Struthio camelus: one gene and its partners. The protein of the gene in region 4 purifies or fractionates together with the protein of the main gene of each other region. This does not show direct contact. Links are inferred from orthologs where the notes say so. Each region holds a gene or a part of one and is shown on either strand. Other genes may lie near its edges. The genes, in order: CABLES2, TMEM94, C2CD5 and CDK5.

Region 1 (6,891 bases), on a different chromosome or scaffold from region 4:
ACTGGTAGTAAATACTTTGGGAGAGTTTTTTAATGCATCCTCACAGGCAGTGTAAAACTATCCCTTTTGCCAGAAGGAGGAGGATTCAATAAGACACAGGGTCAAACAACATCTGAGAGACCTGTGATCCATTCATTGGTCTAGTCCCTTTATTAAGCCATTTACACTTCTCGGGCTCCTGCAACAACGAGTCCGACAACTTAATCAGGCAGGTACAAAAAAAGATGTGCCTCTTCTGCCTGACAATTGCAATGAGTGCTTCCCACAACTCCTTAAGACAAAAAAAAAAGAAAAAAACAACATGAACTCTCACTCCAGATCACCTTCATTAGAGGTACATAAAACAATGAAGGCAACGCCATGTTTCAGCCCTCTGTTTTCCAAGCTAAAGAAATTCATAGTCTGTTTTGCTATTGCTCATGCAGAAACCCTTTCCATTCCTCTGATGATCCTCCTCACACTTCTCTCTACCATTTACTCCTGATTTAACATTCTTTTCAGAATGACTGATTAGAATTTTTATAGCGGAGCATAACAACATCTAAAATTAGATGCCACGGAAAGAGACAGGAAGGACATCAAGAGAAGATCCAAGGAGTATGTATTCCGACATGTTCTGTTTGTATCCTATTGACTCGGCATGGAAAGGAGAAGGAGTGAATAATTTGCATGAATTCCAGCTGTACAAAATTCAGTATGCCTGTGCACAGAGCAATCTGTGTCACACGCAGAGGTAATTATACTTGTAAAACTTGCCCTCAAAAGCTTGATGGGCAATATTAAAACAATACGGTGAATGGCACAGCACCTAGAGCACCAAATAGGGTTTTGAGGACCGCAGGAGTGCTATGAAGAAGTTGTGTCATAGCAACACTGTTACTTTAGGCTTTACTGCACAAACTGCACATAACAATGTAATTTGTGCATACAGGGCATTAAAGTAGGAGGCCCATTTTCAATTTCTTCAAGAATTGGGGAAAGAAAGGTGCCTGCCGTTATGAAAGGGAAAGTAATGGGTGGTCCCTGACAATTCAAAAGAGAAAGAAACCTGGCAGGGGCAACCCCTAAAAACATTCTTACTCACAAATACCTGCTTTCCTCTAAAATTTACCGGAACCGCCATGTAGCAGTTTCTTGATCAACAGGACACATCCGTTACGTGGCTGTGCACTGAAACGGAGCACTAATCAACTGTATGCGCAAAGCTCCTCAGCTTTAAAGGACAGACATCTCTATTTCAGTTTACCAACAAAGCTCTGGAAGCCACTATAAAGAATACAGACTTGGATGTCTTTGATATTGTTTTTGCCTATATGTACTCTCATATGTGCTCACTTTGCAAAGCTACTTCTCCAAGGAAAAGGCCTGACAAAAGTTGCTTTAGAACTTCAATCCCCAAAGATCGGAACAAGATCCTGCCTTTCAGATGAGAAACTGCACACTTTCAGGCTGATAAGAGTCCCCTGGCTGTACAGCAATAATTTCCCTCTGAAGGGGGGAACATCCCTCTCTGCAGAGGATTGAGAAACATCCCAGCATACGAGCATGTATTAATATTCCTCTTAGAGCTACTGTGTAAACAAGCAGCAGAAATTAAGGGAAGGTACTGCACTCAGTAGTATGCAGATTACATGGAGTAAGAGCTTATCTAACAGCGCCTCTATTAGCTTCATCCACAAACAGAAAATTTCAAAGATCAGGCTTTGAAAAAGCACAAAGCATGAAGGATTTGGGTTACTGCAGAACCCCAGCTGGAGACTAAGCTGCCCAAATATTCTGCAAATCCCCATCACCAGACACTTGCCCAACTTTGGGCATTCGCTCAGGCAACCAGACAAATAGCTAAGCAACATATGCGGCACTTTCAGCGCAGCCACCGCGACCGTCAGGGCAGCTAAGGGAGGAGGAAAGCAGCGCTGCAAGAAGCCCCCTTGCAGCATCGGCGCACCCGGCGGAAAGGCAGGGCAGAGGCGGGATGTAAACAAAGGCAGCCCCGGCGGCTGGCGGCGCTCAGGGCAGAGGCAGCGCGTCCGCGGCGACGAAGCCCGCGGCAGCGCTGCCCCATCCCCGCCGCCGGCAGGTGCTCGCCCGGCGCCGGGCTCCGCCGCCGCGGCTCCGCGGGGGGCGGCGCACGGCAGCGCGGCGAGGGAAGAGGCCGGCCGGCGGCAGGGGGAGCGAGCGAGCGAGAGCCCCCGTCTCCCACGGCCGGCCGCCCCTAGGGGCGGCGGTTTCCCATGCCCGGTGTCCCCGGGCCCTGGGAAAGTCCGGCTCTTCCCAGGGCTCCGGCGCGTCCCACGCCCCGCCGCGGCGGGGGGACGGCGGGTCACGGCGCCTCTGCCCGCGGGGGGGGGGGGGGGGAGGAGGAAGAGGAAGAGGAGGAGGAGGCGGCCCCGGCGCGGCCGGGCGGCGGGAGGGCCGGCCCGTTTCCAGCCCGCGGGGAGGAGCCGAGCCCCCAGCCCCTCACTCACCTCTGCCGCTGCACCTCCAGCGCGAAGCCGCCGCCCGCGGCGCTCGGCGTGGGGCTCAGCAGCCCCGGCGCGCCCGGCTTGGCGGCCACCGGCATCCCCGGCGGGGCGGGCGGCGCCGGGGGCGGCGGGCAGAGCTGGCCGCCCAGCAGCAGCTGGGGCAGGAAGATGCCCCCGCGGGGCGGCTCCGCCTCGCCCTTGGTTCCCGCGGCGGCGAGGGGGGCGCCGGGCAGCAGCAGCGCCGGCGGGGGCGCGTGGGGGGCCCGCGGCGGCTGGCAGGACGGCGGCGGCGGCGACAGGAGGCGCGGCAGAGCGCCGGCCGGCTCCGCCGCCGCCTCCTCTCCCTCGCCCGGGCCCGCGGCGGGGGGCGGCGGCTTCTCGGCGGCCAGGCAGGGCGGGCGGCCGTCCAGGGAGATGTTGTTGAGGAAGAAGAGAGCGGCCTGGCGCCGCCGGGAGTCGCCCCGCTTCCGCGGCGGCGGCGGCTGCTCGCGGGGCGGCCGGCTGGGCGGCGAGCCGCACGCCGTGGCCGCGGCCATTCTCCGAATGAGCCGCGACGGCCTCGGCCGCCCGGGCGGGGTGGCGCGCAGCGCGGCGCGGCCGGCTGCCCGCCCGCTCATTGGCCGCGGCGCGCCGGGATGCAAATGAGCCAGGCCGCGGCCCGGCGCTCATTGGTTCGGCTGCTCCTCATGGGTAGTCCCGCCCCCGCCTCGCCGGCCGGCGGAGCTCGGCGGGGTCCTAGAGCCGGCGGAGGCGCCGCGCCTGCATCGGCGCCGCGCAGCTCTGTGGTGCCACCAGCGGGCAGGCCGGGCACCCGTTCCCGGCTGTCCCCCTCCGGTCACGCACCTGGTCTGTCCCTCTCCCCGGGACAGTCACGCAGACAGCCCCTTCCTCCCTTACGTGTGCCCCTACCGCCGCCACGCACCCGCGTCCCCTCTCAAACGTCCACCTGTGTCGCCTCGCAAGCACCTACCGCGTCCCCTCACGAACACTTACCCGCGTCCCCTCACAAACACCCATCCGCGTCCCCTCACAAACACCTACCGTGTCTCCACACAAACACCCACTGCTTCCCTTTACAAACACTCACCCGCATCCCCTCACAAACACCCATCCGCGTCCCCTCACGAACACCTCCCGTGTCTCCTCACAAACACCCACTGTGTCCCTTCACAAACACTCACCCGCATCCCCTCACAAACACCCATCTGCGTCCCCTCACGAACACCTCCCGTGTCTCCTCACAAACACCCACTGTGTCCCTTCACAAACACTCACCCGCATCCCCTCACAAACACCCATCTGCGTCCCCTCACGAACACCTACCGTGTCTCCTCACAAACACCCACTGCGTCCCCTCACAAACACCCACCACATCCCCTCACAAACACCCACCACATCCCTTCACAACACCCACCGCGTCCCCTCACAAACACTCACCTGCCTCCCCTCACACACACTCACCTGCCTCCCCTCACACACACTCACCCGTGTGCCCCCTCACAAACACCCACCGCGTCCCCACACAACAGACACCAGCGGTCTCGTGTTCCCAGGGTCTCAGCCTTCCTGCCAGCAGGGTAGACACGTCCCCTAAAGTGATCAGCACGCATTTGTGCACGTCAGACAACTTCCGTAAAACCAGATAAGGGCAGTTATTCTTATCCCAGTCTGGGAGCCTGGGACCCGACCTCCCGCTGCAACCCCGCGGGCAGCTCCCAGTTCGATGGTGGGGCTGGGTTTCAACACCAGCCCGCCGGCTCTGGGAGTGCGGCTACCTGTGGACTACGCTGAGACTCACCGGCAGCACCCAAAAACGGCACAGAGCGCTAGATCTCCGGGTGTCCTACTCGCTGAAGGAGAGCAGACAGAGCACAGGGCTAAATGTGGGCTGCATACGGAAAAGGCGGACCCGGAGAAGACTCAGTGGGGATCTGGGAGAACATAAACTTAGCATTATCTCCAAAAAAGTGACTCAAGGCGTATCTACACAGCGTGCCGCTTCTCAGACTCAGATGTTTATACCGCACAGTGTAAACACCCCCCTCAGGCACTTGAACCGGCTCCCACATCCCAGGGCGACGCTCTGACCGCTTGCCAAACCAGAAAACGGTGCCGTCTCTCCTCTGCGCTCTAAGGACATGGGTGGGAGCATCCGTGCGACTGGGCCTCGTGGAGGGGGTCGGAGAGCTTCGCTAGGGGTGAAGAAGCCTCCGTGCTTTGAGCATCGGGCTGTGGGTGCTGTGAACGTGTGGCAGGAAACTCACAGCTTCTGTACTCTTTAGGAACAAAAATGGGCCTTACAAACTCTCAGCGCTTCCTACCTTAGGTACTCTAGGTGGATTTTGCCTGTAGACACAAGCACACCAAACCAAATTTGCCATTAAAAAGGGGCTAATGAGATGTTTACAGTTAAGCAGGTGCTAGTGCATTTGCAGCACTGGACCCTTACAATGGCCACTTCTTTTGCCTATTAAGATTCCGTTTTTTAAAGAAGCAACATGACAGCGACTGCAATTGTTTGCAGTTTACACCAGGAATCCAACCGACGTCTGACGACATGACCTGAAATGTGGGCACTAAATAACAAGTGGATTTTCAAAATGTCTTACAGAACATCGTGCAGTTGCTAAGTCTTTTTATATGGCTGTTTCATAAGATCCATTTTTTTGCATGCTGTTCTAAGTAGGACATAAACACTTGTGTTATAGTATTTGTAGCATTTAATAATAATAATAACAATAGGATAGGAAACATAAGACTGTTTTCTGTAGGCTTTCACTTAAAAAGCTATTAAAACAATGTAGTGCAGTATAACAGTCCCCTTAAAATCCCACAGATATCCTCAGTGTATTGTGATACTCAATACAGGTCATATTTTGATTATTTGGCAGGATCATCCTATCATCTGCAGAAAAAATGATTTGGGATAAAAAGGAATTAAAATCCTTCTTGCTGGCAAGCTCATCAAAGAAGCCATGGGATAAATGGGCATGGAAACTTAGCGAGGCTTTCTCCAGAGGGTTTTCCAGAACCCAGGATTTGAATTAAAAAATAAATGGTATTTTTTCATTCTTTCCTTGACAAAACAGCTGTAGGATGTAAATTGTCCCACTGAGTCAGCACAGGATGAAGCAGAAAGAAGCCAGCCTCCATAGCTATCTTAGTGGGTTGCTAACTTCAAAGCTGGATTCAGAGGTTTGCACGTTGCTGCTGTTAACGCTTTAATGCTAGGGAGCTTTCATCTACATTTGACAAGCAAACTAGTTCACAGTGAATGAATATAGCAGGCATATTGCTATGTTTCAAGGAATCTGCCACTAAAACAGATGGGCCTCATGTCAGCATCATTTCCACCAACGGCAGTAACGGGGTGCAACCGGAGCAACCTTCTCTCCATGACCTTTTCCTGCCCTGAGGGAATCACCATATTGTGGAGAAAGAGGGAGACAGAGCTCTGTTTTGATCGAAGATGCTAGTAATTCATAGCACGGTGATGTTATTTTGGCAAAAGGCTTGACTTGTCGCATTGCTGCTGCACAGTAGCTCCAAGTTCTGGGCTGAGGCATGTTTGAATCTTAACTGTTGCAATCCCCCCTCAAGATAAATATTTAGGAGTTTTGCAGTGCAGTTTTGCACCTACAACAGCATTATGGCACAAATGTAAAGCATTCTTTTGAATATCCAACACCTAACCCTCTCATTTGACTCCTGGACTAAAAGCTCTACCATAAAGTAAGCACGGAACAGCATGGATATATGTTTGAACAGTCAAAGGGTTGCCAGAATAAGGAGCTGATAGGGAGGGGACCAAACCTGCAAGCCTTTATTCCAACATGGTGAGGGGAATATAGTTACCGAAGTCACTGCGAGTTTTCTACATTCAAGAACTGCAGGATTTGGTCTAAGCATCTGAAATGAGACAGCATTTAAACTGCCTATGTGGGCTGGGTGTTAAAATTTTGCAAAATCATGGCCCAAAACCAAGCAAAGATAAACAGGTCATGAATATATTTAGGCTGGGAATCAGAGGAACAGTGTTCCAGTTGGAGGAACTGCTAGTATTAAGATGAAGTGTGAGAAATTTCTGTACAAGTTTTTCCACTTAAAAGTGTAGTGTGGACCTGGTGATCCAACAGGCCTTTTCTAGTTCAGCATTGTTATATATATCACACTCAGGTATCTTTTCTTGCCAGCTCCTCTCTTCTTTTGCCATCTGTCTCAGGAAAGGGGAAATGGAAAGAAAAATGCTGCTTTTGTCCCAAAGCCCAAACACGCAGGAGCTTGGTAAAAAACCTGAAATATTTCTCTCAGCCGTTGTGGAAATATCCTCTGGTTTCCTGTGGGTACAACAACACTCCTTGCATCCATAAATCTCAGCCATCAGCACTTCTGTCATTGGAGCCTGCAGAGCAGTCCCAGCTGAGGC
Region 2 (7,958 bases), on a different chromosome or scaffold from region 4:
ATATATACTTATAAAATTCACCTTCCCCACTGCTTCTATAGACATGTAAGTAGATTCAGTCCAGTAAAGTGGTAGATATCCTCTGTCCTCTGCGGATTCAGTCTCTTGCAGAGTAAGGGCTCCTCACCAAGAGTGCCGTGCAATTTAATACAACTGCCTTTAAAAGATTGTTTAAGTAAATAAGGGAACAGAAAACAGAAGATTTGCTAGAAGCTTTAATTTGCATAGACTGCGATTCCATTTATCTGATTCAGAGGTATGGAGAGCCCCTACTAGGCAGCTGTCAGATCATTTCCTTCGTTCCAGGCTGCACACATTAGACTCCCCCCCCCCCCCCCGCCCTTTTTAACACTTTGATTCAATTGCTTTTCAGATTTAAATAGTTGGAGGAGAGAAACAGGGCAGCAGAACGTTCTTCCTTTTTCTGAGAGCTATTTTGCATTCCTCTAGCAGAAACAAGAAGGTAGTTTTTAATTTGCCAATGATATTCTGCAGGCTATTAATCTATTTCAGGGATTAGACCTTCTGAAATATAGGCATTATTCACAGTTTCAAAAACACATGAGAAGAAGTAACTGTATTTGCATTCAGTACTGCAAGTCAGATTCTTGCATAAGATAAGGCACAATATGACCCACAGCTTTTTTTTGTTCCCGTCAGAGAGGATGGCAGACATCAGACACCACAGCATGCAGTTTCTTGGAGCAACATTTCTTACTGCAAGCTAGTGCTAGGAAGGGGTTTATTTCTCTTCTAAAACAAATCATACTTCAGCGTGCTAGAGCTCTGTCCGACCACAGCTGCTGAGTTAATGCTCAGACTGCCTGCAATCGAATACCCGTTGTACAAAATTATAGAGACATAGCAGGCAAAGCCAATGGATAGGCCATTCTGGGCAAGTTTCCCATTACTACCTACACAAATTGTATTTGTTGTCCTTCTGGGTGCTTACCCGGTTACTGTTGAAAGGAGGTTTGATGCCTGACTCTTAGCAACAGCGCTTGTCCAGTGACCTAGACTGCGTGAAACCTCCCCCCTCACACATTCACACTCCCCATTCAATAAAGAATTGTTTAAGACTCCGGACTAACTGTCAGGACACCCAAATTCTGCTCTTGCTTCTGCCACAGATTTCTCTATGACAGTGGGAAAATTGCAGACTCCTCTGTGCCTTAGTTTCTCACCTCTTTAATGGGAATACCACCTCCCTACCAGCTGAAGCATTGTGAAGATTATAATATTCACCAACCCACCTGAACGCTACTGGAAAGCACAGAAAAAAGAAATACATGATTATCTGCATGATTCAGGTAGCTCTGTCAAGCACATCGCAGCTCTGTGGGGACCACTGCCTTCAAAACTGGACACGCAAGGAAAGGCTCCAGAGAGCACAACCAACGCAGCTTTTAAACCTGGTTTAAATGCCACCTGACACAAGCTTGGCAACCACCATTTAGCTGTGGGTGGTCTCAAATCAAATGAAACAAGCAAAGCCTTCAGCACAGCAGTGCCCAAATTAATGGACAGAGCGACAGTCAACAACTGTCTCCTTCCTCCATCTGTAGCCACCGTATGAAAGTCAGCCCAGACCTCCCCCGGTCCGTGGACAAAAGAGCTCCCACAGCTCGGTAACGGGGGGCCTGCGGGGGCTCCGGTGTGGAAGCGGACATCGAGGCTCCCTGCCATTCATCACTAACAGGGCCTGCAGACTTACACTGCAAAGAGGCACAGCAGCGGTAGCAAGGATCTCTGCGAGATCTGGCCAGAGCAGCACTAATCAGCCATCTGAATCAGCACTGCATTTTGGTGTGAACAGAGTCCATTTTAATCCAGACAGTGACATTCAAATTTTATGCCCTCTCTAAAGCACAGTGTTAGATGCCAACAGCCACGATCAACCATTTCACATGGCTAACGCAAAGCTCGGTGCTTTCTTCCTTGCTCAGCTAGTGGCAGTTCAACAGCAGAGAGAGAGGAGCCTGCTCCCCAGGTAACAGCCCAGTTGTGAACTGCACCTTCCCGGGTCTGTCTCTTTGGTCCTCCTTGCAGCAGGCAAATCCCCAACCATAGTTACGTGCCCCACCAGGATGCTGGCAGGATGAGGCAGTGTTTATGCAGTGCTTTGAAGCTCACCTGTGCTATGCAATTATCAAGCTTTAATTACCATAATTTATCTAGTTGCAGTATTTCCCCAAGTTCAGAAAGCAGTCGGGGGGGAGGGGGTCCATATTTATTCTGGCTTCAACATAAAGTACAATGCTTTATGCCAGTGCAGAGCTGACTCCAGAGGATGTTAATCTCCTCCTGAGGCCAGCAATGCTCAGAAATCCAGGGAACTTCAGCACATCTTTCACCTCCTGCCCCCTATTTGTTTATCTGAAGACTTTGGGAACTAAAACTGTGACACAGCCTAGAAGGTGCACTGTAAGATATTTCAAGGGGTAAGGAGGTTCAACATCTACAGATCAAAGCACGTACAAGAAACGGATAAACTTGAGACCCGAAGCAGAGAGGCAGCAAAACAGGAGTCAGTAGCTAAGATCATGTTTGGCCCCTCCACTTCGTTTTCGAATTAAATCTATAGTTTAATACAGAGCTTCTTTCCCCACCCCCTCCAAGACCAAGACATCCCTAGCTAAAATTATCATTCCCTGCTTCATTTCCTGACATAATCTCTTTCCCCAGAACCTCAAAGCCCTTCATGCACCATCACATCAGGCAGGATGGAGGTTGGGGAAGGAAAGAGGGAAAGCCATTTTGAATTTAAATGCTAAGGGAGAGAAACTTACTTTGCGGCATTTGCCTTGGTGGGGGATCCAGAGATCGGCCTGCTTAAAGAGCATCTGGGCTAAATTCCTGCACCACTTCCACAGCAACTTCCACTGCTGCTGCCCTCCAGAAATGAGAGAGCAAAAGAGGGAGAGCGAGCCAGACTGTGCAGAGCCCAGCGCTGCAGAGAACGAGACAGAAGCAGCAGAGTGAAGCACCAGTCTGCTGATTAATTCAGCCTGTTTCCAGTCATGCTGCAGATCCAGCAAGGAGGCGGTGGATGGGGGAGGGATGAGGGATAGCAAGGAAAAAAAAAAAGGGAAAGAGAGAAGAAAGTTTGCACAGGATAGCACCAGCTGCCTGCAGGAATGGTCCATTCACAAGATGGAGCCAGCACAGCCAGAATCCGTGGGTTCCCTGCCTGTAGAGATGCATATGCACGCACAGCAACGGATGATGCTGACAGACAGGGTCTGTGGAAAAGCAGATGGCAAATTAGACAGGACAAAGTGCTATAAAATATACTACCAGAGAAGGAACACCTGAGCAGGCCCAGGAAAAAGGACTAGATAAAGATAAAGAGATCCAGGAATCCTAACCCCCTTACACAAATATAGGAGAGTTATCCAGATGACTCCACAGCTTTGGAGCTCCAAGCTCAATTTCAAAAAAAAAAAAAAAAAAAACTTATTTAAATGATTTGAGACGGCTACAGGTCCAGTCTGAAGCATTCCCTCCCTCTTCCCTTCTTGATGGAGAAAGCAGCAAAAGCCCCTCTCAGCATCAAATGTTCATACATCCTGAGCCACACAAGCTAAAACAAGGTGCATGCAGATTATTCATAGCCATGTGCCATATCTGGGGCTCACTGACACCTGGGCAGTGGCACAGAGAAGGTAAAGGATTAGCGCACACAGGGAACCTCTGAGCAGAGATGGAACGAAAGGACACGAAATGGAATAATGGGTATTCAGAAGTGAAGAAGGAATTTTTCTTCTCTCTCGTTCTCATCTTTTACGGGAACGCTTCCCTCTTGTTGTTAAAGGAAAGCACAGTGTCTTTATAAAAGTGGCTTTTATATAGCTCCTACTTCAGTGCTGTCCTGATTCTGTCTGGGTCCTCCCAGTTCTGCAAAGCAATCATTAAAACAATTGCTTTCATACCATATATAAAAGGATGAAGAACTGACCCAGACAAGAAACACGTCAATAGCTTGCCAAGGACCCAGCAGCCTGTATAAAAAGGAACAGACACACACTGCAAAGACTTCCAGAGCCAGCATTTAATGTAGCTTGGAGGACTATGTGAAGATCTCAGTACTCACCCACTGTCCCTGGCCAAGCTTTTCATTTCCTTTCCTTCCCTGAGATTCAGATGGCTAAACTGACACAGCCCATATGCTGCATTTAAAGCCAGAAATGCAGACATCAGAGGTCCCAATATTTACAATAACCCCAAAGTACGGTAGATCCAAGACAACCCCTGAAAGAACGAGTTCTCATCGCTGTGCTGGCACTGAGTTACACATTGGTATGTAGTTTCGCAGGTTACTTTAAAGCCAAAGTTAAAGGGAAACAGTGCCTTTAGCGTCACTTTAGGAGAGAGCTAGTGAGAGAGCAGAGGGAGAAAGAGGGATGAAGATATCCTTCATCTTTCTGTAGGGCATTTTATTTCCTAGACAACAATTTCAAACTGCAGAGAGGAACAAGGTGTCCTAAGGGTACAATTTTTCCTTCCCTCCTCTTTTCCTACTAAGAAACTAAAGTCACCTACCCATTTCAACACATATAAAAAAAAAAGGAAAAACAAAAAAAAAGGACCAATACCACCGAGATGGGGTTAGAATGTGCAAATCTTCACACAACATATGTGAATCAACCTCTTCTTATCTCAGTGCTTGCTGGACTGTTTCCTACGGCTCAGTGTAAATACCTTCTGGAAACTCAAATGACTGTGAATAGAAAAACGGAGTGATCACTGTGCAAGTCTAGGAACAACCCCTGCGCTTCATGTGGTGAAGGAGTCCCAACACAACTTTCTCCTGGCTCTGGAACTCCAGCTTTGGTAATGAACACAAATGGAAATGGACCAAATCACCTCTTCCTGTTTACCCCACCCTCTAGAGACCTTGCTCTAAAATGTTTTGGGTAGGGCAATCATTTGTGCTGTGTAACTTCCTTCTGATAACAGTTGGTATCATAAATTGCATCTGGCTGTGCATTTCTGCATTTGAAAGAGCAGAGCTAGAATCTTGAGGTCTGAAGATAAAACTGTGGGTTCGAGCGAAAGGCAGAGTACAAAGGCAAGGGAAGGGGCTGAGACCCATACAGAAATTGCAGCACAGAAGAGAGAAGCTTGTGGAAGAAGGATTAGTGTGTGAAAAGCCCTTGGAAGAAGAGCTGAAGTTTTAGAGAAGCTGCATGGCAAGGAATAAAAAACAGAGATACAGTTACTGGCAAGACAAGAAGAGGCAGAAGATTTAGCTACTTTTCAGTCCAAAGGCAGGACTGCAGCTCGTTAGACATGCTAGAACTAGATAGCTGAGGACCAACAACACTAGTGCTGCGCAGAGTACAGCACAGGCTCCCGCGAGTACATTTCCAGGCTCCGACCATGAGGCACAGTGCTCTATCCAGGCTGCACCAATTTCACTAGGATAATACAGCTCAGCTGCTACAGTAATTGTGGTATAGATTATGCCAATAATTTTTAATAGATGGAGTTGCTTCAAATACAGCCTATATCTAAAGTAACTCAAACTCAGGAGTCTCACGTTGCCCTGTGGCAATCAGTGAAGCTGTCTACCTTGGTATATGCTTTGCAGATCTTGGAGCAGAGATTCTGGTACCTTTCACAATATTAAGTTCATTTCAAAAATACACAGAAAATTAACAAGTCAGGAGAAGTGGGCAAAAGAGCAAGACAGTAGCACCTTTAATTTAACAAGGTTTTGGCACTGCTCCTAAGATACTCTCTGCCTGTCTCTGCAGTGTCTATAGTTTCTTGCAAAAATTGGAAGAAACCCTGCACTACACCTGACAAACTCTGATCCTCAGTTGTTTCTGACAACGGAACTGTATTAGCTGACTGGAGCCAGAGGACAAATCTCTCATCCTTCTGAGTGTCAGATGTCTGTGCTACGGTTGTGCTCAGAGCGCATCTTGTGTTCCAGAAGATCTAACTCTTCATCACATGCATATACTAGGGTAAAGAGATTGCTGTCAATTAGATTCCAGACTGGTATTTTCAGTGGGGGTTCATCTGATTTTTAGCATTTTAAAATAAACCTAGCACATCGGATTTATCATTGAAGTTACCACAGCAGATTAATTGGTTCCTTTATCAACATATAGGCATCCAGGTTCTTCACTTTGGAAAGGAAGACAGATTCCACTTTAAAGGCGATGAAACGTGGTTCTGCAGTGTTGAAAAAAAAAAAGAGGACCAAGCTCACTAACCAACATCAAACCACATACTGCTAACAAGTATGAAACCAGGATCTTTTCTCAGAATCCAAACAAAGTAAACGGTAAAATGCATCAATGTGCATCAGTGTTTTTTTTTTTTTTTTGCTATTGAAAAGAATGCAGTGACTTTTTGCTTTCATTTGAATTAAAACTTCACTAAGCCAGGAGAGGAGCCTAGGACTTCAGAAAACTATGATTCCCCATAATCCGCTGCAGCAATGCCTGTGCTGGAGCTCCCAGATCCCATTCAAAACACACCTCTGCACAGAATGGTAATTGCTTCATCTCTTAAAATGATCAATACCAGATTAGCCCAAGATGCTATTAACAACAGAATAAATAGATAATTATCTTCATTGGAATGTCACCTCCACAGTCATACAGCAATTGTACATAAAACGACAAAGTTCAAACATGTCCTCAGAGCATACCAGTGGTGAGAGTTTCAGGCATGAGTAAGCCCAAGCCTTCCTGGTCTCGCACGCTACGGAACAGCCATTCCAGCAAATAAGAACTCCAGCAGGCAAGTGCAACAGCTGACGTGAAACTTTGAGCAGCTCCTAAATCGCTTTCACTGCTGTATTAGTATTATAGAGCAGGTCTACATCTAGGTGGCTATCTAACAGGTACTTTGCACTAACGAACAAAACCACCTCTTGATGCTGGAAGCACTGTAAACAAAACAACAAGAAAAGGATGCAGGCAGAACAGAAAGACAGCAAACATGTAATCTAGCATACAAAGTTTAGCAGGGTGGTGAAGAGAGAGACAGGAAAAGAGGCAAAGCCATGAATGTTCTCCTACCAGAGCCACCTGAGAACTTGGCCTGTACAATCTTCTCCACTGGTCTCAAGCTACCTCTCTCATTTCTGACTGGGATCCAGAATAAGGCATGTACCAGTTCACTTTTTTGAGTGACAAATACATTTAATATTTAGGTGGCTACTGAATATAGCTAAAAAGTAAGTAGCCAGTTAGCGATCCTAAGCGATCAAAATCATTCTGGATTTTACTTTTGGGAAGCAGTAACATGTATCAGGTTAATAGTCTCCTGCGAACCACAGCAGATATGTTCTTTCTAGCTCCTATTGCAGCTATTAATGAAGATCTCTCGCTTTTCTCCTTTGAAGCTGAAAGCACAGCAGGGTAGCAAGAGACAGATTGCCCCTCCACACAATATACAGCCTTATCTTGCACTTTCTACAAATGATATCCTGCAGCATTCCCTGGAAAGGCATACAATTGCCCAAGAAATACATATGTTGATCATCAGAAAAACAGGACTCAGAGGATTTTATTATTTTATTTTATATTTTATTTTAAAAATCTTCTCATTAATTCAGCCTCTCAAGTAAAGACAAGCTAAGTGTCCAGGGGAGTGAAGCCCTACCTTTATCCTCAAAAGATATAGCATACAATGACAGAATATACTTCTATGTTGTTCCATGAGGGTGCCTCAATCCTAGCCTGCAAAGGACTCATTCTAGGGATGGGAGTTCTCTTTCTAGGAGCCATTCAGCCCCCCACCTCCACTGTGATTCCCTGTAAAAGGTGCTAACTGAAATGTGAGCGTTTACCCACAAGGAACTCAGTTCATTTAAACAGTTCTCAGGCGCAATAATTTTGAGACCCTGACAAGCCAAGCTGTGTGTAAATTCATCAAGTCAAAATTAATTTCCCAAACTCATTGCCTAGGTTAACTGACATCTCCTAAAACAAAAC
Region 3 (7,018 bases), on a different chromosome or scaffold from region 4:
ATGCACATCCAGTTAATTAAAAAAAAATTCAAGTGTTGAAAAACTGGGTCGTAAGTTCACAATGAGCACTACAGATAAAACCATACCTCTGTCAGAGCTCTATATAGAATTATGACCACAAAAACAAATAAATAAAAATGAGGCCTTCAATATGATTTAATGAACAGTAATCTTTTTGGAAAAGAAACTAATTACAAAGTAATCTTTAAAGTTAAAAGTCAAGGTGGTACGGAAACACAGGGTTAAGCAACGTTAGGAAAAAGTCAGCGAGCTATCGAAAACTGTATGCAGCCTCTATGTGGATAAAGAAAGTAGCTGTGCTGTTAACTTAGAAACCGTATTCACTATGCAAAGCAGTATAATATAGGGATATTGATGCTAGTTTTAATTGAGCTACCTCATACACTGGAAACAGCCAACACGCACTAGCGCCACCCAAACTAATTTTGCATGCTATCTAGCAGAGTAAATTAGATCCCTTGGAGCCCTAGGCAGTTACAATTAAACTTCTCCAGCAGTCAAGCTAGTCCACTAAAAATAATATAGGTAATCTTTCACTACACTGCAGTCTGCTGTTGAAATTTAGAAGCACAGTTGCAGACAAACTGGTGCTAAATTGCTCTAAATCATACATTTTCTGCTGGCAAAATCCAAATTATGCATAACCTGAGCCAAGTAAGAGCTCCAAATTCTTTCCTCCTTTTTTAATTCTAGATTAAAATTAAAATATCTAAGGAAGAAATTAAAGGTTAGTAGTCAACCAGTACCTTAACATTACATGGTATTGTCGCTGAAAAAAGCTAAAGATTAAAAGCAGAAGTCAAGTTTTTCAGCAACCATACACATATTACAAAAAAAAAAAAAAAAACAGTTTCAAGATCAGTCTATTTGGACATAAATCTCACCTGCTGCCTCACCTACTCCCCATGTGGAAAGGGAGGTCCCCACCCTCTGAATATTTGTTGCAAGTAATGGTCCTAAAAGCAAGGCCCCATCTACGTATTTCTTCTGCCTTATTTGTGCCAGAACATTCATGAAGCTGCTCAGTAAACCAGATAAGCAAATTGATCCTGCTGAAAAATAACTTTTTTTTCCCGCTAAGTTAGTGCTTAAGCAGATGAATTTCCTGATCCCTTTGCTACACAGCTACTCACACTGTAAGGCTGTCATAGATGGTGCAGGGTTGGGAAAAAGCGGCCAAATGGAGGACAGAGACATGTTTTGCTCAATACAGCATAAACAACAAGCTGAATGAAACTCATCAGAGTATCTCCTATACCCTTTTTTCCCTGTCTCCTAGTACCACACAGCAGAGTTGTTCTAGGCTGCCTTTTAACCAAATTTAAAATTACAAGAGAAACTATTTATAAATTAAACCTACTGAAATATTTGAAACTAAACACTGAAATACAAAGTTAAATCGCTGTTACTTATTTAACACAACAGAATAATTAGAGACTATTTCAGCTCCATTAAAGAGCATGTCAAAAACTCATTTTTTCTTTATTACTTACTTATCATCCCACTAAGTAATGCACTTAGTGTCTGACGTTAACCAAATTTTAAGCAACAAACTAAGTTAGGACTTACATGCCCAAAATCTATTCTCAGATTAATATTTACAGACTTTTCAAATTACATAGTTATAGAAAGACATTATATTTTCCTACCTTAATTCCAGTATTATGCTAAAGTCAATTACTTTTTGCAGTACAGGCTTGCTGTAGTATCCCATTTTTAAATATCCTTGTTTTTTTCTGAAAGTATGATATCTGAATCTATGGAAGTCTATTTAAATTGTTCTAAGTTATTTATAGTGGAAATATTGAATCATAAAACAGGAGGATCATGTCAATTTATTTTACAATCCCTTGTTGAGAAATTCCTTATATATTGCCTGTTAACTACATACAGATTGGTTAACACAAGATACTTCCAGTACAACAACATGATTTAAACATGCAATTAAGTATTTGTCCTCAACAAGAACTGTCTTTCAAAAATTTTTAATATTTTAAATAAAGATATGAATATTGGCCTTGAAAGTGAAGCCTGTACAACCACATTTGCACTTCATATATTGAGAGATACAAGTGACTTAAACATGTTTTTTACAACTTCTCCATTCTGTTTATAATGCAGCTACGGAATCCTGAAATAGATTCCATTTGCCTGGTACATCAGCAAGACCTGTCCACTAACAATCTTCATCAGAGAGAGGCTTTAAAAAAAAAGAAAAAAGAAAAAAGAAAAGAAAGGCAGTATTTCTAAAACACTATTCTGATTCTCTACAGCTCTTAGCTAAAAGTCACACACAACTGTACCAGAAACAGCTTAAAAAACATACATCAGCAGACACAGACTCAGGGAGTTCCTTGACATTTCTGCAATCGCTTTCCAGACCAGAGCAACAGTGGGCACGATAGTCCAGGTAGCACTGGCAGGGCTGGCCTACCCTCCCCCCCGCCCCCAACCAAAAGAGATGCAACCAACAGTAAACTTATAGGTAGCATCAAGGAGGCACGAAACGCGTCCCAGAAAGGGCCTGCTCACGGCAGCGGGCAACCGCAGCGCGTCCCACGCAGCCCCAGCAAGCAGGTACGTGACCGGGCCAGCATCCGTCACCTCAGCGCGGCCAGCCAGCGGGGGGCGCCCCGCGCATCGGGCCGGGCCGGGCCGGGCCGGGCCGCCAGCAGGTGCGCGGCCTCCGCCCGCCCCTGCGCGGGCTCAGCGCGGCAGGTGCGCGGGGCCGGAGGCGGCGGCGGCACGCCCTCCCGCGGGGCACGGCACGGCACAGCGCCCCTCCCTCTCGCAAACCTCCACAAAGGCGTCGGTCAAGTCGCTGGCGCGATCCATCACTGGCAAATGGCGCCCTGCCACGATTTTGACCTTCAGCTTCCCCGGCATCTTCTTTCTCCTCCTCCGCCGCCGCCGCCTCCCGCCGGCTGCCAGGAGAAAACAACAGCGGGTGTCCCATGGAGCGGCGGGGGCGGGGGGAGCGAGGACGCGCATGCGCCGCGCCGAGCAACGGTCCGCCGCTGCCTGGCCAACGGCCGCGGGGCACGCGCGGCGTGACGCAACCCGGCGGGGAGGGAACAGCCTTCGGGCGCATGCGCTACTTACCGGGTGGCTACTGCAAACGGGCGGCCCAAGCGCGCCTAGGGAGCGGCGAGGTAGGCGCCAGCCGCCTTCCCCCGCGCCCAGCGGCCACAGGGTGCCGCGGCGCCGTACCGTCTCCGGCACCGGTGTCGCCCCACCTCGTGTCAAAATGGCGCCGGGGGCACGGAGACCCAGCTGGGAGTCGAACGTCGACTCCTCGATGGGTTCTGCGCTGGCACCGCGGCGGTCCTGCGGAAGGAAAGTCAAGGTGCTTGAGTGCCGAATCATCGATTGGCGGGGCTGCCGTGGGCGCGGGCGCACTTCCCGCCTTCTGCCCGCCGCCTTCCGGGGCCGGTGCGTCCGCCACCGGGGGCCGGTCTCCTCGGCGCCCTCAGGCCGCGCTGCCGGCTATCTGTCGGAAGCGGGGCCCCGGTCTGGCACCGGGGCGCCGGGCCAAGGCGGCCTGCGAGCGGCGCCCGGGGGAGCAGGCCGCGGCGGCGGCGGGGTTAGCTGGCGTCCGTTGCTCCTGTGGGGTGGGTGAGGCAGTGTGGAGAGGAGAAGGGAGCTCCGGTCGGTCCTGGGTGCGCCACAGGCGGGCATCTCTGAGTGCCCCATGGGAGATTCCTGCAAAGGATTTAAACCAGACAAAAAGCAGGGGGCGGGGGGTTGCCCATCATACCTGCGCAAACTATAAACAGGCTAGATGCATATTTCTTCCTCATCCATCCTGGAGTGGAGTAATGGAATAAGGCTATTTCTAAGACAGGATGGAGCAATAAAGCCTAAAGATCCAGGGAGGGAATCAAAGCCAGGGACTATATTGCTAATTAGTAATTCCTGTGTTAGCAATTCCTGTGTTAGAATCTGCTGATCTCACCTACTTAATAGACTTTGGTTCATGTCGTGGAGCAGTCTCAGAGCATATGAACTGGATATTCCTTTTGAGTATGATTGAACTGAAAAATATGCTCTAACAACACACCTGATACATTCCGGCTGCCCAAGGACATTCAGTCCATGGCAGGAAACTAAGCTAGTCTGAAATGAAATCTCCTGAAATGTGTGTTGACTGTGTGGATGCAGGGCCCTCAGCTCCCTTTCACCCTAAAGATCTGCCATTAATCAACTACATTACTTGCTAACATAGCCAGTTGTGTCTTAATTTCCCTATTAAAATAGAAAGTTGCCAGCAGACGGTTGTGATGACAAGAAAATGTTCTCTGTTGCATTGTTTGGCCTTTGTTATCTGATGGTATGTTACTTTATGCCCCAAGATGTAGGGAGAGTAAAGTCAGTTCTTGACTAAACACAAGGACGAACAAGCAAACTGTGACATATGTTCCTTATATGGCAAAACATCCACTTTGCTTCTCTTGCTAACTAAATTATAATAAAGCATTTTAGGAAACTGCAGTTGCTATGATTTTTGCTATATGTCTTGTGATATGTAGCATATTTTTTGTTTCAGCGTATGAAGAGGTGTGAATACATTAAAATTTTTGCTTTAATTTGAAAGAAAGCAAGTTTTTAGTGCTTTGAGATGGAAAAGGGGAAGTATCTTGTATATTATAAACATGTAAGGATACACACATACAACTATGTGTTAAGATATACAATATTCCCCACTGCTGTCTACACTTTAAGGAAGTTACGCACCAAGCAGTGGTTTCTGTGCCATCACTCAGGAGGTACAAATGGCTCATATCCGCATTGCTTGCTCACACCATTCATCTGTTTTTCACCTTCATGCTTGGTACCATCTCAGGCTCGCTGCTGATGCCACTTTGTTTTCCAAAATGAGGCTAAGCAAGTTGTTATTCATTGATCGAGCTGAGAGTGGAGGGAAAGACTCCTGCTAACAGCTTATTTAACCAGCACAGGTTTGTGGCGTTGTATTAGGGTATAAACTTTTTCGCTACCCGCACCATACCAGTCGTAAAGAGGTCTGTGGCTCAGGGAACTATGCAGGGACCAGGTATAATCTGTCTGTCAGATAAAATTACACCGTATACCTGCATGACTAGCATTGAATCCAGAAGCTTTAAAGGGAGAGTGCTGTCTTCAGGGCTCTTTTCCAGGTGAACTACTATTCAACACTGAGTATCTGTCTAGCCTGTTCTGGGCAGCAGTGTTGCTTTTGGAGGCCTCCCTGTACCTACCAGTGAAGAGGAGACAAGTCTGTAGCAGGCATGATTGTGGTGGAGACTGTTTACCCATGAGTGGCCTAACATCACAGGCTTCATGGAGTTCCAGGTCTTTGCTGTGAACGTATTCCCAGCTGGGTCACTGACAGGATTTGTGTCTTCCCAAGGCCACCATGAGCACACAACATCACAGCAGACCACTACAAAGGAATCACAAGTGGAAACATGTTTGTGATGCCAGGGTCTTCCTAGACCCTTCTAGTCAGGCATGGATTCCTCGAGCCAGAGTAAGCTTTTGATGTTAGATCACAGCCAAGGGTGGAGAGTTAGACGTGTCTTCTGTGTGCCTTTCTCTGTCGCATCAGATGCTGCTTATGGAATGTTACCCAGCAGTAAGAGAAAACTCATATGTGGTCACATAGAGAGAACTCAGTACAATATATACACTTCAGCTGGGTCCCACATGTCAGCATGGTCCCTGTGTGGAATACATATTCAACTGGCTGGCTGATGGTAAATGCTGAGTAACAAGCTGGCCCCAGCATCCCCAACTCCTGTCCCTTTACTTCTGTGAAAATGTTGGAGAGCCATGCCATTTTGAGCAGTCACAGCGTTCTTGCTGTAATACAGTTTGAATTGTTTCAAAATAATACAGAAGAAGAGGTTTGCTATATATACTTGTAAAAAAAAGGCTGACTATTTGGAACTTTTGATACCAGTAATACATGTGCTAGTCCTCTGTGCACATAAAACAGATTCTTGTAAATTATGCTAAACCCTTGTCTCCGATAAATTCTATTTTGTTACTCACATTTAATTGAAAAATCTTAAAGGAACCTTAAATCTAAGTTTGTATGTCTTTTTAGAATTAGCTCTTCTCTTCTTGTTGTCTTTCCTTCTACTGGGACAAGTTCTACAACACTGAACAAAAAGAATGGAGCTCTCTTGTTCTCCAAGCATCAGACAGCATGACTGACTAATGGCCAGTTAATACAATGAATACCTGACTGAATATACTGCTTTGTTAAATGAGATAGCTACAATTTGGGGCAGTCTGTGGACAATTCAGGTATTATTGTGCCAGATGCTTGCAGAAAGGGAAGCTTTCAAGAGAACATCCAGCACAGTAAGCTCTTCCAGGCAGGTTTCCATAAACCTGTATCACTCCTGATTCTTAAAGAGCCTGATTCTTAATCTTCCCAGGCAATTCACTTCAATGCTTATTATTCTCAAACTTATTCAAAAGGTTTCCCTACTGTTTAAACTGAATCTTTTGTGATAAAATACAAATCTTTTTTTCCCTTTGTCTTATCTACTGAACCTGAAAAACAGATTATCACTTTAGAAGAGCCTTACTGGATTAAACTGGTAATAACTGGTACATACACTTTTAGTTAAGCTTAAAAAAAAAATCCACAGTATCCAGGGCCAATAAGATCTACAGGTTAGCTACTTGTTTTGGGCAAGTTTATCTCTTTATTTTGAACTTAACTAATTTCATTTGTGGACGCCTATCTTTTGTATTATAAGAGAGAATGAATAATTGTTCCCTTTCAACTTTTACTCCTGCAATAACTTTTTATATATTAAAGGATTTATCATCTAACTCTTTTTTTACATGTTTAAAATCAGTAACTTGAATGTTTCCAGTCTTTCTTCATCAATCTTTATTGACGTCTCTAAACATCATCTTCCTTTCTTCTGAAGACTCTCTGAACAGGCCACAGTTTTTCTTGAAGTGTAGTACCCTAAACTGTAACCAGTGTTCCAGTGAA
Region 4 (7,416 bases):
GGAGCCTGTGGGTTGGAGAGACACGGCAACCTTTCCCTCCGTGGGCACTGGGGTTCCCAGAGCGGCCTGGCCTCACAGCTCCCCCATCCACGTCAGCAGGGAGAAGGGAGGATCGGCTGCTCGTACCCTACAAACGGCACAGCAGCGACGCTGGATACGAGGCAGTCTAGAGACCACGGGGAGAGACGTCAACCACTTTAAGAAGTCAAGAATCCTTCTCCCTCCTCTGAAATCGTTGCCCAGCCACCTGCACAGAGAGCAGTGACGGACAAGAGAGAACGCTCACCTGCAGCAGGTCCCGGCCAGTCGCGTTCAGCTTAGGTACCACGTTCACCAGAGACGTCGTGGCAGGGTACATGGGGTACGGCTGGGGAGAGACAGACATGAGCCCTGGGTGCTGGGCCTGCCACGCTGTCCCCTCCTTCCACCGCCACCTGCGGCTCACCTTGTAGTCTGGCAGCTTGGCCATCGCTGGCCACTGCTCCTCTGTGGGGGTTCCCAGCAGCGTAGGGACAGAAGCAGTCAAGGGCCACCTCTCTAGCCTGCTCCTTGGAGCCTCTTCAGCCAAAGGAAGCAACCTCTGCTCCAGCCACGAGAGCAGAACGCCCAGTTCCCACACCTGCAGGAGTCCTTCTAGCCCCAGCCAGAGAGACCTGCGCTCCCGGGCGAGCACACGTAATCCTATCAGTTCTCCTCCTGCAGCCATGCGCAGGAGAATTAGGCGGCCCCTTTCTCCCACTACAACCCCAACCGCAGCACCAAAAGGATATCGGAAAATCCTTTTCAGCTGGTCGTCTACGTCATTCCCCGGGAACAGCGGCCGCCCAGCATTAGCCAGCTCTAGGAAAGGAGAGAGACAGGATAAGCCCTGGAGGCCCTACAGCCCTATTCCCCTTGCGGGACAGAACCCCCCGCAACAGGAAAAGCCTGGCCCAGCTACCTGCAAAGATGCAGCCAGCTGACCACATGTCTATGGAAGTGGAGTAGAGCTTGGCGCCGAAGAGCACATCTGGCGGCCGATACCACAGAGTGACGACCTACACAGAGGCACAGAGACGAGGACTGCGTTTCCCCATTGATCTGCGGGTGCTTCCACACGCGCCAGCCCTATCAGCCCTCGAGTCCAGCAAAAGCTAGACGGCAAAGAAAGCAGAAAGCTTTCTGTAACAGAAAGCAAGTCCCTTCAGCAGCCGGTACGTGAAAGCCTGTAAATGAGAGCGCAGACCTGAGCGCGATGCCTCAGCCTGTGCAACGCCACAGTTTGGTTCTTGTAATGAGCTCCTGATAGTCCTAGGTGTAGTAGCTAGCGCAGGAAAAACACTACCCAAGCTGCCCAGGCACGTAGCCCAACAGCTAGCGCAAGAAGAGCAAGTCTCCTAGAGCTTGGACTACCAGAGAAAGGCAGAGCAGGCCCAAGGACAGCACGAGGAGCACCACACTGCGAGGAAGAGGGGAAGTTGCACTAGAGGAGCAGCGAAGCAGTGTTGACCATTCAGCCAACACAGCCCCAAGGATGACGCTGCGCTGCAAGCAACAGGGGAGCTGCTCAGAGAGGTGGGGGCTATGAAATGCTCCTGGAGGTAAAAGCCTACAATGAAAATCCCACAGAGCTCCCAACTCACCTCTGCTGAGTAACAGCGCACAGGGATGCCAAAGGCCCGGGCCAAGCCAAAGTCCGCCAGTTTGAGTTCCCCATTCTGCAGTGAAAAGACAGCATCAGCAGGGCTTCATAGGAGACGCTCAGTCCCTGCTGCATGCCTTGGAGTCTGCAGCAGCTACTGTTCCAGACCCCTCTTCCTTTTTCACTGACCAAAAAGATAACACAGAACAAGACAGAAGTGCAATCTCCCGAGAGCCACATGCTCCCCCGGTGAAACGTCCTCCTCGGTTCAGCCAGGACGTCTCGTGCCCAAGCGTGCAGCCCGTACTGTGATTCGCTCCCCTTACCCCCACCCCTGACCCAGTCACTCACTCTGTTAATGAGAAGGTTCTGGGGCTTGAGGTCTCTGTGCAAGACGTTGCGGCTGTGGCAGAAAGCAAGCCCCTTCAAGAGCTGGTACATGAAAGACTGCAGAAGAGACCACAGACCGGAGCAGGACTCGTCAGCCCGTGCAACGCCCCAGTCTGACTTGCGTAAAGAGCTCGATAGTCCTAAATGTGGCAGCTAGCACAGGGAAAGCATCATTCTCTCCCAAGGGCTTCCCAGAGCCTCCCGCCGAAACACACCTTGACGATCTCTGGATCCAAGTCCCCGTTGCAGCTATCGAAGTACTTCTTCAGGTCCTAGGAAGGCGAAAGCAACGTCCGCGTGAGAGCTCAGCGGAGAGGCGGCGCTGCGGGCCGCGCTGGCAGGCGCTGGCCTCGGCGCTCCCGGCCGGCTCACCTGGTCACAGAACTCGAACACCAGCGTCAGCTTCTTGTCGCTGTGCAAGACGTCGTGGAGCCTGGAAGAGGGAGGGGAGCCCTGTGACCCGGCGCCCGCCGCCGCCAGCCGGCCGGGAGCGCGCTGCCAGGGGAAGGGGGGCCGCGGTGCCGGCGCCGTCCTTGCCTGACGATGTTCTTGTGCTTGAGCTCCTTGAGGAGGCAGATCTCGCGCAGCGCCGAGCTGGGCACGCCCTGGGCAGAGGAGAGCAGAGCCGAGCCGAGGGGGGCCGGGGGCGCCGCTCAGCCCCCGCCGCCGCCGCGCCCCCGCCCCCGCCCCTCACCTCGTCGTCGTCGTCCAGCCGCACCCGCTTCAGCGCCACGATCTCGTGCGTCTCCCGGTTCTTGGCCTTGAACACCGTCCCGTAGGTGCCTGCGGGCAGCCGGGTCACTGGCGTGGCGCCGCCCCGAGCCCCCGCCGCCCCGGGCCCGGGCCGAGCCCCCGCCGCCCGCCCGCTCCCCCGGCCCCGCACCTTCCCCGATCTTCTCCAGCTTCTCGTATTTCTGCATGGCGCCGCGCTCCGCACCGGGCCCGCCGGACTGCGCCTCCCCGCCGCGGGCCGCCCCTCCCGGCAGCCGCCGCGCCGTCTCCCGGCGGCCCCCGCGCGCACCGCGGCTCCCGACAGGCCCTGCGCGCACTACGGATCCCGACAGCCCCCAGCGCGGACTACGGCTCCCGACAGGCCCCGCGCTCACTACGGCTCCCGACAGGCCCCGCGCTCACTACGGCTCCCGACAGGCTCCGCGCGCACTACGGCTCCCGACAGGCCCCGCGCGCACGATGGATCCCGGCGGCCCCCGGCGCGAACTACGGCTCCCGGCCGCCCCCGCGCGCACCGCGGCTCCCGACAGGCCCCGCGCGCACTACGGCTCCCGACAGGCCCCGCGCGCACTACGGCTCCCGACAGGCCCCGCGCGCACTACGGCTCCCGACAGGCCCCGCGCGCACTGCGGCTCCCGGCGGCCCCGGCGCGCACCGCGGCTCCCGACAGGCCCCGCGCGCACTACGGATCCCGACAGGCCCCGCGCGCACTACGGATCCCGACAGGCCCCGCGCGCACTACGGCTCCCGACAGGCCCCGCGCTCACTACGGCTCCCGACAGGCTCCGCGCGCACTACGGCTCCCGACAGGCCCCGGCGCGAACTACGGCTCCCGGCCGCCCCCGCGCGCACCGCGGCTCCCGACAGGCTCCGCGCGCACTACGGCTCCCGACAGGCCCCGCGCGGACTACGGCTCCCGACAGGCCCCGCGCGGACTACGGCTCCCGACAGGCCCCGCGCGGACTACGGCTCCCGGCGGCCCCGGCGCGCACCGCGGCTCCCGACAGGCCCCGCGCGCACTACGGATCCCGACAGGCCCCGCGCGCACTGCGGCTCCCGGCGGCCCCCGCACCTCCCGGTGTGCCGCGGGTTCGAGTCCCGCCGCCGGCCGCGGGGCAGCCCGAGGCGGGGTCGGGCCCGTCCGCTCTGGGGAGGAGCGGTGCCCGGGCAGCCCGGGCCGGGGCCGGGGGCGGTGTCGGTGTCGGTGTCGGTTCCCGCCCGGCTCCGCAGCGATGACGGCGGGCGGGGCGGGGTGGGGCGGGGCGGGGGCCGGTGGCCGCCCGGTGCCGCCCGGTGCCGCCCCCGCGCGTCGCGCGCACACCCGCGGGCGCGGCGGGGCTCTCCGGTGAGCGGCGGCGGCGGCGCCCGGCGCGGGGGGTGGGGGGGAGCGACCCCGCATCCCGCTGCGGCCGCGGCGCGGGCACCCGGCCCGGCCCGGCCCGGCCCGGCCCGGTGGCGCGGGGTGCCGGCAGCGCGGGTGCCCCTCGCCCGCTGCTGCCCCGGGACCCTCCGCTCTGCCCGCCCAGGCGCGGCCCTGCCCTGCCGGCTCGGGCGGGCGGGGGGAGCGAGGGACACCGCGGGGACGGCGTGGGGGTCCCGGGGGGGGGGGCTCGGAGCCTCGAGGGGGGGAGCGAGGGGCGTCCCGGGCGGGGGCTTGGGGCTGGGGGGGAGCAGCGAGGGGGCCCTGGGGGTGGGAGAGTGAGGAGCCCCTGGGGGGAGCGAGGGAGGGGTCCCGGGGGGGGAGCAGCGAGGGGGCCCTGGGGAGGAGCGAGGGAGGGGTCCCCGGGGGAGGAGCAGCGAGGGGGCCCTGGGGGGGGCTCGGGATTCGGAGGCAGCAGCGAGGGGGACCGAGGCCGGCCGGTGACGGGTGTCTGCGGCTCTTCACGGCGTCGCGCACCCCGTCGCCGCACGGTGCCCCTGCCAGGAGAGGCGAGCTGCCGGGGAAAGACCCCCGTGCGTCTGCGCCGCCCCGCAGCGTTTCCTCGCTGGGGTTTGCCTCCTCTTCAGGGGTGGAGGGGTTTCCCGAGATCTCCGCCGGAGGCAGAAGAGCAGAGATCTCTCCGCTGCAGCAGTTAAACCCTTGTTGTTGCCGTGTTTTCCAGTGACTGTGGCATGGCCCGAGGCAGCTCGACGCCCTCCCTTTGCCACGTCTGAGCCCGACCGGAGTCCCTGGACAGGTGAGAGCGTGGGGCGAGGCTGGGACAGGCCCCCTGTGCGTGGGGCGAGGCCGGGACAGGACCCCCGCGCGGGCCACCCCGAGCACCTGGCGGGACACAGCCGTCCGGCAGCGCGGCCGGCTCTCGGCTTCACAGCCGCCCGGGGCTCTGCGGAGCGTCCCGCGGCTCTGCCAGTCCCTGCCCCCCTGCAGCCTCCCGGCTTCCCCCCCGGGCTGTCTCGGATCACAGTGTGGAGACGGTTGCGAGGGGTAGCACCAGGCCGAGCGAGGTGCTCGCCCGAGAGCCGCGATGCCCCGTCCTGGGTGGTGAGCGGTGCTGCCCGTGTGCGTAATGCTGCAAGGGTTGAGCAATGCCGGGCGCGGGTCCAGCCCAATTACGCCTTCTCATTAAGGCGCTGATGTGGGTTCCCGCTGTCTTGGACGCTGATCCCAGGGCACATACTGTGTGGTTACATCGGCGAGGTGGGAAGTGGGAGGCTCCCGGTGGTGACCATCTCCGTGGGACTGTTGTGTCCTGCTGGGCTGTTTGGCACGGGGCCGTCAGCGGCGCTGGGGATGCGGGCAGGGAGGGTTGGGCCCTGTTTTAGTTTCCACTCTGATGCGAGAGCAGGACTGCTCCGGCGGGCTCGTGACGGACGCTTGGTGGTGGCAGGGGCCCCGTCTGGTGCCCGGGCTGTGGGGGGTCTGTGCTGCCCCACAGGCCGGTTCCCCCTTGCAGCCCCTGGGCTGTCGGCGGCCGCGGTGCGCACCGGCCGCGGGGTTCCTGCGCCTGTCAGGACAATCAGCCCCGTGCCCGTCAGGCGGCAGGGTGCCCAGCCCTGCTCGCATGCCCTTCAGGGTCGCTGCACCACTTCAAGCGGCTGCCACGAGCACGGGGATTTCATTGCCCTAACAACCCTCCTGGCAGCCGGCGGCCTCCCTGCAGGTGGCTCTTCCGGCCCCTCGGTGCCGATGGGGCCGCTCCTGCTCCCCGCAGCACGCCGTGGGGGCGGCTCCCCGTCCTGACACCCAGCGCACTGCCCAGCCCTGGTGGGCTGTGCGGCCCGTCCGGCTGTTCTGGCCAGCAGGAGCTGGGCCGTTCTGCTGGCTGCCGTGGGGGCGAAGGCAGAGCAGGGGCCAGGGCTGGCTCTGAACCCCTCGGCCAGGCTGACCCGGGTTGTCGGCAGCGTGGGGCTCTGTCCTGCGCTCCCCAGCGCCGCAGGTTGGTGCCGGACGCCGAGTTCCTCCTGCGGGCTCCGCTGCGCACGTGAGAGCGGCGTGTTGATCCCATTAAGGAGACAGAGTCACCTGCGGGCAGGGCCGGGGGCAGACAGACCGCCACGTTGGGTCGTGCCTGGTGAGGGCAGCGGTGCTGGGCGGTCCGGAGCAGTGGCGCATGGCCGTGCTGCGCTGGGGTGGGCAGCCCCCCGCTCCTTGCCCTCTCTGCCTGGGTGCTGTCAGTGCCTCTTGCCCTGGGCGCTGGGGCAGGACCTGCAAGCAGAGCTCTGCGTGTCCCCGACAGGAGCTACGCAGGTCCTTCGCGTCAGAGCCGGGTCGGGAGGCGCAGGCGGTGTCAGGGGCCAGCGCTGCTGCCAGCAGTGCTGCCCTGCGGTGCCTGTCCCCCCGCAGGGTCTGCTCACGGTGTGCGGCTGGAGCCGGGAGCGATGCAGGGGGCTCCCGGCAGAGGGGTGCCCCCAGGCTCCGCAGCACTGGGCTGGCAGCGCGGGCAGGGACATTAGTGCTCAGAGGGCTCCAGCGGCTCCGTGAGAGCTGTGTGGTGCTGGAGGCGCAAGTCGGGTTTCGAGGGAGGAGGTTTCAAACCGCCCAGGCCCTTTCTCTCTGCTGCGTGTTGCTCTCCTGCCTGTACCTGACAGGTCCTGTCCCGCCGCGCGCTCTCTGACTGTTGTGCTGAGGGATGCTATTCCGAGTGTGCCACGTTGGTGGGAGCGTCCCGACCGAAGCTGCGTCCCGGTCTCCGTGCGCAGCCCCGAGCGGAGGCAGCAGCTCCTCTCAGCACTGTGTGCACAGCACAGCTCACCACCGTGGGGTGATGCTGCGCCGGCCACGTGAATCCCGGACCAGGGCAGGGAGAAGGGACTGAGCCTCGTGCGCCTGCTGACCAGCACTGTGAGGGAGTGAGCCGTGTCTGCCGTCCCGTGCCGTCCCGTGCGGAGAAGGGACAGGGAGAGGCTGTACGCGTCCCTGGAGCCAGTCCAGGGCAGGCTGGTGGCCGTCCCCAACGCTCCACAGCGAGCCTGGGTTCGAGCGCAGACGGTGGGTCCAGCCCTGCGCGTGGGTGCCGGGCCCAGCTATCCCCCCGGGGGACGCTGCCGGCCAGCGGAAGGGAGGGGACCCTGGGAGCCGCGTCCTGGCCGGGATTCCCAGGCTGAGCCGCGGGGATAATGAGCCTGGCCGTGGCCCCGGCGCAGCCCCGCGGGGCTCTGGGACGCAGCCCTGTCATTAGAGGGGAGCCGATCGCCGCATGGGCCAGGCGCGCTGCCCGACTGCGTGGCGCTGG

Evidence for each region.
Region 1: the proteins of CDK5 (region 4) and CABLES2 purify together in Homo sapiens (affinity purification with mass spectrometry; 6 studies listed by BioGRID and IntAct, with this or other methods). This does not show direct contact. The link is inferred for Struthio camelus from reciprocal best matches to the Homo sapiens genes CDK5 and CABLES2.
Region 2: the proteins of CDK5 (region 4) and TMEM94 purify together in Homo sapiens (affinity purification with mass spectrometry; 5 studies listed by BioGRID and IntAct, with this or other methods). This does not show direct contact. The link is inferred for Struthio camelus from reciprocal best matches to the Homo sapiens genes CDK5 and TMEM94.
Region 3: the proteins of CDK5 (region 4) and C2CD5 purify together in Homo sapiens (affinity purification with mass spectrometry; 6 studies listed by BioGRID and IntAct, counting the BioPlex papers as one, with this or other methods). This does not show direct contact. The link is inferred for Struthio camelus from reciprocal best matches to the Homo sapiens genes CDK5 and C2CD5.

Annotation. Positions count from the first base shown.
Region 1 is NC_090959.1:15,662,164-15,669,054, forward strand, and holds the start of CABLES2 (CDK5 and ABL1 enzyme substrate 2), read right to left. Parts: upstream 3,002-6,891; coding exon 2,469-3,001; intron 1-2,468. UniProt on the Homo sapiens protein: Unknown. Probably involved in G1-S cell cycle transition.
Region 2 is NC_090960.1:8,344,435-8,352,392, reverse strand, and holds the start of TMEM94 (endoplasmic reticulum magnesium-transporting P-type ATPase), read right to left. Parts: upstream 3,004-7,958; 5' UTR 2,844-3,003; coding exon 2,790-2,843; intron 1-2,789. UniProt on the Homo sapiens protein: Could function in the uptake of Mg(2+) from the cytosol into the endoplasmic reticulum and regulate intracellular Mg(2+) homeostasis.
Region 3 is NC_090942.1:75,529,805-75,536,822, reverse strand, and holds the start of C2CD5 (C2 domain-containing protein 5), read right to left. Parts: upstream 3,015-7,018; 5' UTR 3,013-3,014; coding exon 2,818-3,012; intron 1-2,817. UniProt on the Homo sapiens protein: Required for insulin-stimulated glucose transport and glucose transporter SLC2A4/GLUT4 translocation from intracellular glucose storage vesicle (GSV) to the plasma membrane (PM) in adipocytes.
Region 4 is NC_090943.1:498,378-505,793, reverse strand, and holds the start of CDK5 (cyclin-dependent kinase 5), read right to left. Parts: upstream 3,015-7,416; 5' UTR 2,932-3,014; coding exon 2,895-2,931; intron 2,795-2,894; coding exon 2,706-2,794; intron 2,617-2,705; coding exon 2,549-2,616; intron 2,445-2,548; coding exon 2,384-2,444; intron 2,284-2,383; coding exon 2,227-2,283; intron 2,069-2,226; coding exon 1,973-2,068; intron 1,698-1,972; coding exon 1,623-1,697; intron 1,038-1,622; coding exon 941-1,037; intron 841-940; coding exon 771-840; intron 507-770; coding exon 446-506; intron 368-445; coding exon 287-367; intron 167-286; exon of another isoform or gene 31-166; intron 1-30. UniProt on the Homo sapiens protein: Proline-directed serine/threonine-protein kinase essential for neuronal cell cycle arrest and differentiation and may be involved in apoptotic cell death in neuronal diseases by triggering abortive cell cycle re-entry. Interacts with D1 and D3-type G1 cyclins.